Astyanax mexicanus: one gene and its partner. The protein of the gene in region 1 interacts with the protein of each later gene in a pairwise test. Links are inferred from orthologs where the notes say so. Each region holds a gene or a part of one and is shown in the gene's direction. Other genes may lie near its edges.

What was found.
Region 2: the proteins of eef1g (region 1) and get4 interact in a two-hybrid assay, tested with the Homo sapiens proteins (2 studies listed by BioGRID and IntAct, with this or other methods). The link is inferred for Astyanax mexicanus from reciprocal best matches to the Homo sapiens genes EEF1G and GET4.

The regions. Positions count from the first base shown.
Region 1 is NC_064417.1:39,784,619-39,788,546, forward strand, and holds the start of eef1g (elongation factor 1-gamma), read left to right. Parts: upstream 1-1,428; 5' UTR 1,429-1,514; coding exon 1,515-1,526; intron 1,527-3,043; coding exon 3,044-3,202; intron 3,203-3,295; coding exon 3,296-3,359; intron 3,360-3,928. UniProt on the Homo sapiens protein: Probably plays a role in anchoring the complex to other cellular components.
Region 2 is NC_064422.1:21,153,132-21,157,059, forward strand, and holds the start of get4 (Golgi to ER traffic protein 4 homolog), read left to right. Parts: upstream 1-1,354; 5' UTR 1,355-1,405; coding exon 1,406-1,539; intron 1,540-1,769; exon of another isoform or gene 1,770-2,029; intron 2,030-2,169; coding exon 2,170-2,248; intron 2,249-3,928. UniProt on the Homo sapiens protein: As part of a cytosolic protein quality control complex, the BAG6/BAT3 complex, maintains misfolded and hydrophobic patches-containing proteins in a soluble state and participates in their proper delivery to the endoplasmic reticulum or alternatively can promote their sorting to the proteasome where they undergo degradation.

The DNA.
Region 1 (3,928 bases):
AGGGATTTGCAGCCATCAGCTATTGGCATTTTTTATGATAAGGCAGAAGGAGGTGGGGGTCATGTGGAGCAGTGCATAAATATATTGGGATTGAATCATATACTGTATAATATTGTAAAACATGTAGTTTCATCATTATTAAACTTAATTCTTATTTATTTGGTTCTTTTTGGGACATTGAAAGTCTGTGCTCATGCTAACTCACTGGCTGTAAGTGGGAATTCTCAGCATGTAATTCAACACACAATACTGTTTGTAAAAAAAAAAAAATATGACTGTTTCATACAGTCAATACTATGATGTCAGAAAAAGTAAACGCGTATCATATGATTATTGCACATCCTTATTAATGAAGTATAATTGCTTTTTGTTAATGCCGTTCTTTCATTATATTGATGATACCATAACGTCAACTCCTTTTTTGGCAATTTTAGTTTACTAACATAATTGACACACATTGTCCCTTACAGTGTGTGTCTAACTATTAAATAGATTCTCCAAAATGACCTGAAATAAATGATTTTACATTGACGTCCACTAAAGTTTATAGTTAGTAATATATCTTATATATGTACCTGTTGTTTCTTTTTTATTAGTAAGACTGAGCACAAGCTAAATAAACGTGTATTTATATATCTAATATATGCACCGATTGTTTCCTCTTTATTAATAAATAAACTTAACCAAGGCTAAATAATCTTTTTGCATTTATATCTAATACAGCTCTGGGAAAAAAATAAGGGACCACTTGAAATTATGATTTTCTTTGATTTTACCAAATTGAAAACATGTGGAATATAATTAAGAGGAAGATGAATCACCACAAGCCATCAAACCAAACTGAACTGCTTGAATTTTTGCACCAGGAGTGGCATAAGGTTATCCAAAAGCAGTGTGTAAGACTGGAGGAGGAGAACATGCCAATATGCCTGAAAACTGTAATTAAATTTACAACAAATATAGATTTCTGAACTCTATAAATATGAACTTTATGAATATGAACTTGTTTTCTTTGCATTATTTAAGGTCTGAAAGCTCTGCATCTTTTTTATTGAAGCCATTTCTCATTTTCTGCAAATATAGGCTCTAAATGACAATATTTTATTTGGAATTTGGGGAAAATGTTGTCTTTAATTTTTAGAATAAAACAAAAAATGTTGATTTAACTTAAACATAAACCTATAAATAGCAAAATCAGAGAAACGGATTCAGAAACTGAAGTTGTCTCTTATTTTTTTTCCGGAGCTGTATATGCACCTACTGTTTCTCTTTTATTAATAAATAAAGACTGAACACAGGCTAAATAAACATTTTGAGTTATATATCTAATATATGCATCTATTATTTCTCTTATTAGTAAATAAAGAATAAATACAGGCTAGCTAAAGGCTGGTGCAGTGGCTGTACCTGAACACACCCCTCCGCTCGAGCTGCGTGTCGCAGTATTTCTGCGACGTGCCCCCGGTATACGACAGCAGCGCGCGCCTCCGCTCCTTCTTTCTCTCGTCCTAAAGATGGCGGCAGGGGTGAGTAAGATGGAAGGAAAGCTGTTTTTAGCGTCACGCCGCGTCTCTGCCTGCAATCCTGCTTGAATCTTAGCCATCCTCGGCGCTAGCCTGTTGATTCGTAACCGGTCAGCTTCTCTGGGCTGTATTGGAGCCTCAAGGCTGTTTATTTACGTTATAAAGCGTTATTTCTCCCGCAGCTTCAGCCTGTATTTTGAATGAGCAGCTGGGAGAAAGTGGGAGCAGCAATGAGCCGCTCAGCTGTGCCACGTTTTATGTTCCGGTGCAGCGGAGCCGCGTGCCGGCTGCGTTTAGCGGCATAACACCGTTTCAGAGCCGTTTAGGTCTAATAAAAACTGTTTATGCTGATAATTTGTAGGTGAAGTGTCTGTGTTTCAGTAGAGGCAGCTGTTCGGAGGCTGACTAGCGTTATGTAGGTACCGGTAAGTTAGGCTGGTTAAAACAGGGGGTTCACCCAGTCATCATCCACTAGCTCATCTCCCCCATATATACTAAGCTAGCTAAGCTATAGGTCCCCTTTATTTAGCATTTTCACACCTTAAATAGTTGATCAAATTATAAATTATTGTTTTAAACCATGGTTGAATCAATTCTGAATAAACATGTTATGTATGTGCTATCAGGATGCTGTGTAGCTGTGCTGTTTCATTGTATTACATTATTCATTATTAAACTAATTTCTCATTTATGTGGTTCTTTTTGTGGCACAAATTGACTAGTCTTTGCCATTGTTGGCATAAGCTAAATGTCTGAAACTGATAATTCTCAGCAACTAACAGTTCTAATACAGCTCTGGTAATAAATAAGGGACCACTTAAACATGATGCGTTTCGTTGATTTTAACAAATTGAAAAGCTCTGGAATATAATCAAGAGGAAGATGGATGATCACAAGCCATCAAACCAAGCAAAACTGAATTTTTAACCAAAAGCAGTGTGCAAGACTAGTGGAGGAGACCATGCCAAGATTAAAAATGTGAATTAAAAAACAGTGTTATTTCACTCTTACAACTGTATTTCACTCTTACAACTGTATGTGTATGAGCTTGTTTTCTATGCATTATTTGAGGTCTGAAAGCTCTGCATCTTTTTTGATATTTCAGACATTTCTCTTTTTCTGCAAATAAGTGCTCTAAATGACAGTATATATTTTTTTGAATTTGGAAGAAATGTTGTTCGTAGTTTATAGAATAAAGCAACAATGTACTCAAACATATTCCTATAAATAGCAAACACTGATCCAAAAACTGAAGTGGTATCTTATTTTTTACCAGAGCTGTATATTGTATTGACCTTACTGGAAAATGCTGCATCATGATTTGCACGATTGAGGCCTTGATGGAGTAGAATAGTTATTTTTCTGTAACCGCTCTTTTAGATAGATTAGCATTATTATTGCATCGCAGATGAGGATTGCAAGCAGGATTTATATCAAGTGTTTTTTTTTTTAAGAAACAGACACTAATTTTACTAAACTAAAATCCTTTTTTTTTTATTTATTTTTTTATCTCTCCATAGACTCTCTACACATACGCAGAGAACTGGAGGGCCTACAAGGCTCAAATTGCAGCCCAGTACAGCGGGGCTCGTCTGAAGGTGGCGAGTTCCCCCCCTGCCTTCACCTTTGGGCAGACGAACCGCTCCCCTGCCTTCCTCAACAATTTTCCCTTGGGCAAGGTTGGTAAATACTCTTTACATTTCATTGGCTCATCCTCTGTGCAAATGAGTTCTCATTTTCTTCACTGATGTTCGTTCTTGTCTCCTTTTTAGGTTCCAGCTTACCAGGGTGATGATGGCTTCTGTCTGTTCGAGAGCAACGCCATTGCTCACTACTGTAAGCATCTCTTTTGTGGACAGTTATGAGTATTTCACTAGTGCAGTGGTGCTTTTACACTTGCCTTGTTTGGAATGGGCTCTTTAGTTTGGTTCAAACCAAAAAAGCAGATGCAATAGGGGCTGCAAAATTCTGTCTGGATCTACTGAGCCATGGTCCAGTTTATCTGCAGTGTGAATTTTTTTTTTAGGCGGTACACATTTTTGGCACAATTGCAGGATGTTGATGCAAGTTGTCCTTAGCCTTAAAACAAATCCGAGTTAAAAAAAAAAAAAAAAAACTGAAATCAGACTTTTTTTTTTTTTTTTTACTTGCAGGCACGATACACTGCCGTATGGATGTAAACGTATAAACTGGGGATTGTTATATCTGCTGCAACTGTAGATTTAACTCTTATTTGTACACAAATAAATATAAATATGTTATCTGAGGATATTCTGTTCTGCTCATTCTTCTGCATGACACATGCCTGCAAACAGAATTTTGGCAGGGAAACAGAAATTCGCAAAGCTTTGTAAAGACTCTGGTCTGGATTTTCAGGTGTGAAAATACTTTGGTACTGCAAACTT
Region 2 (3,928 bases), on another chromosome or scaffold:
CAAAAATAATCCTCGAAACATGATGCTCTCAGCACCATACTTTAGTGATGGTGTTTTTCATAAACGGGCACTGTTAGGTTTGAACCACAAACAGCGTTTTGAATTTCATATGTCTGCAATTTAAATCCTAATATAATTACAAAACATTAATTTGTCTTTGATCTTCATTCTTACAGATTTTTATCAGAGTCAAAACAACAGAATTTTAAATAATATTGTCTTTTTTGTACAGAAAGTATTAGAACGAAATTATATGATTATTAGGAAAAACTGAATGGAGACTCTTCACCTTCACATTCCTAGTAAAGCCTTGCTGTGTGTGGGTGAGCATTGTCCCGAAATGCCATTTAGTAACTCACAGTATAATCAAGTGTAATGACCAGAGGATGTTTATGTTTATGTTTTTTATGTTTAAAATGTTTCCTGTAACTAAAGTGTAGTGTTTGTTATATATTTACCCTTGCTGTGTGTGGGTGGGCATTATCATGCTGAAAAGTGACAGTTAATTACTTCTGCACTTAGACAAATCACATTTGTGGCCACAGATTTTCAAAATTTCAATATCACTCAAAAGCTGTCACTCAAAAGGGCCACATTAGGCAGTACCTACATGCTGGTGGTCTGAAATTAATAACTGAAGACCAGAGAATGTACAGATATAATACACATCATACACACATACATGAATACAATATGTATCATATTAAACACTGTTTTGTTGACATATTTTGAAAGCAAAAGGCACTTTAAAAATGTTTATTTTTTTATTTACGCTCCTTACAATGTTGTTTACTTTATTATATATTTCGCATATAAAGGCACTTTAGGAATGTGATTTTTTTTTTTCATTTTAGACTGTGCAATTTTATATTGTAGACTTTATCATTTTTGGTTTTAATTTTTAGATATTGTGAATGAAAAAGCACTTTAAGAAAATGTATTTATTACTTAGTATACATTTTGAATGCAAAATGAACTGTAACAATATGTTTTATTAGTTTAAGGCTCTGTAATTTTAATATGGACTTGTTTATATATATTTTTTGAATGCAAAAGACACTTTAATAATGTGCTTTTTAATTTTATTATCTGTAATTTTGATATGTGTGTAAGTCACTGGCCTTGAAGCGGCGGCGCATGCTGCCATCTGGTGGTGGGAGGTGATTTCACAGAGCACAATGTGAACGTAATTACTAAAAACTGAAATTTGAATGATAAAAATTTTATTTAATTTTATTTAAATTCGGATTTTAATTTCTGAAATTATAATCATTTATTTAGTATTTATTAGACAGTGGAAAGCTGTGTAGGGGTTGTTCGCGTTTCTTTGTTTATCAAGGTCCGCTGTGTACGGCGAGCCGGCGGGGTCAGTGCTGGTGTAGCGGTCGCGCGTTTTGCGGGGAGGATGATGTCGGAGCAGGACAGCGCGAAGGGCCGAAATCGCGGCGGAGTGCAGCGGGTGGAGGGCAAGCTCCGGGCCAGCGTAGAGCGGGGAGACTATTATGAAGCCCACCAGATGTACCGCACCTTGTTCTTCAGGTGGGTGTTGGAGTTAAGCGCTGCATCGCTGCGGCCCGGCGCCCGCATTTCCAGATCTTTCTCGCTGTCAGCGAAGCGGTACCCGTATCTTTTCTCCTATTGGTTAACGGCTGTACTTTGCCCCACCCCTGGGACTGATTCTTGTGTCTGATTGGCCCGTTGAGACGTCAATCTCGCAAAAAAAAACGCTGGCAGGCTGTTAGCTGTAGCTAGCATGGTTGCTAACGAAACGATACGCACTTAAAACTGAAGAGTTTGGGGTTTAAATAATTACTCTTCGGCTCAGTTTGGTGATTTACCAACACGCTGCACTGTTTTGCCTTTAATGAGCCATAAAAGCCTCAAATATGAACAGAAATGGGCTTCAGTGAAGCACAGCTGTTAGCCTATCTGGCTAAGATAGCTAGTCACAGCTCTGGCAGTGTCAGTTCAGCCCATTTGATTCCATTCACTGTCAGAATACTTCAGCTAACAGAGCTAGTTAGCTTAGGTAGGATGGTTTATTATTAACAAAACGAGTCACACCACGTAGTTAAAAGTTTATGAGACGTTTTTAGAGGTTATATTAGTTTAATTAGTTGTCAGTGTTCCTAAATGGCTATTTAAATGTCCCCCCTTTGCTGTCTGTAGGTACATGGCCCAGGCGAAGCATGCAGAGGCCCGAGAGCTGATGTACAACGGAGCCCTGTTGTTCTTCAGCTACAACCAGGTACACTACCGTATTCCACACTAACCAGCACCACAGCTCCACCATGTTAACCAACTCTCTACCTCCTGTTTTCACTCAGTGTGCATTTTTACCTTACATTGACTGACCATTTTCAGATCAATGGCTCCTTTTAAAAATAAACAAGTTTACTCAGGTAGAGAGCAGGTGTGGCTCACAAGGCATTTTAAGGCAGCATACCAAATAATACAATCAGCACTGATGCTGTTAATAATACAGTGTGAACCACTGATGTAGTTGTTCTGATTCTCACAATTCTCACAAAGCAGCTTCACAGAGATTGAAGTCTAACTCCCAAATAAACAAGCCAGAAAAAAACTGACTAAAATCAAGACAAAGAAAGCTTGAGAAATCAAGACTCAAAACTGATGTCTCTTTTGATCCACCCTGGATTGCAAAATGCATTACAGCAAAAGGATAAAAAAGGAAATAGCTAATGATTACACAATAAAAAGGAATGAATGAGTAGCCTAGCTAAAAATGGAGAGCCAGACATGCATAATGGACTATTGAGACTAGGTCTGCAGCTAATGATTATTTTGGTATCAGACTAATCTGATTTTTATGTAACTTTTATTTGTTTATTTTTTTGTTTAGTCAATTATTTAATGACTGCATCTGCCATTTCTTCATCACTGCTTTCTAAAGCACAGCTCCTGTTCCAATGCACATTTTACCTTACCTGCTCAAGTCTGTGAATGTCATCCTGTCTCTGTAAAACCTGTGAGCTGTGTCATTAAATTTCTGTCCCCAGCAATTTGTAAAGTGCATTGCTTTTACAAACAATTAGTCTTCACTAAAAGTTTATGATTCACATTGTCTATTATGACGACTAATCATTGCAGCCCTACCTGAGACACTGTGATTGATACCACTGAAATAAATATAATTCAATTTTTCCAATCAAGCACTGATTCTTAAATATACATTTAAATACCCATTATTAAAAGCTTAAGGCCAATTTCTCCTACTGCACCGAGTGTACACCATAGCTCACGCATATTATAAGCGTTACTGCGTACACTACACACAGCCTGACATGCACCTCCCCAGAAATGTAACTACTTGTCATGTGTAGCAAAGAGTAGCAGACTATTCTAGAGAGCAGTGACCTGGTGTGCCTCACTTCCTGGTGTTTTAAAGCGCAATAGACAGTTTGTTAATCACTTGTGTGATATTTTTTTGTTTTAATCAGTCAGAAAAATCAATAAGACATGTTACATACTACGTTTTATCAATGGTGTTACGAGTAACTGAACTGATAACACCATACTTTGTTAATCCTGAAACATTTAGACATATCAGTTTTTAGTCATATTGCCCAGCCATAAATAAATAGATGAAATAGATGAGATTCTTCAGAATATTATTATAACTAGAACTGCCAGTTCTCCATTAGTGCTGCACACAAGGTTTCACAATTTGTCCTCAGCTTTAAAGCAGTGAACACACACATGCACATACTAGTGAGCACACACTCTAGGGAACAGTGAGTTCACATGCCTGCAGCAGGAGGCTTAAGGGCACTCCAGTCAGGTTCTATCAGTTCAGGGACTCAAACAGGTCACCTTCCAGTCACAAGGCTGCTTCTCTAATTTGCTGGTCATATCTCTGCAACACGCAATGATTCTGCAATTATTTCTGGTTGTTCCAAATATAACT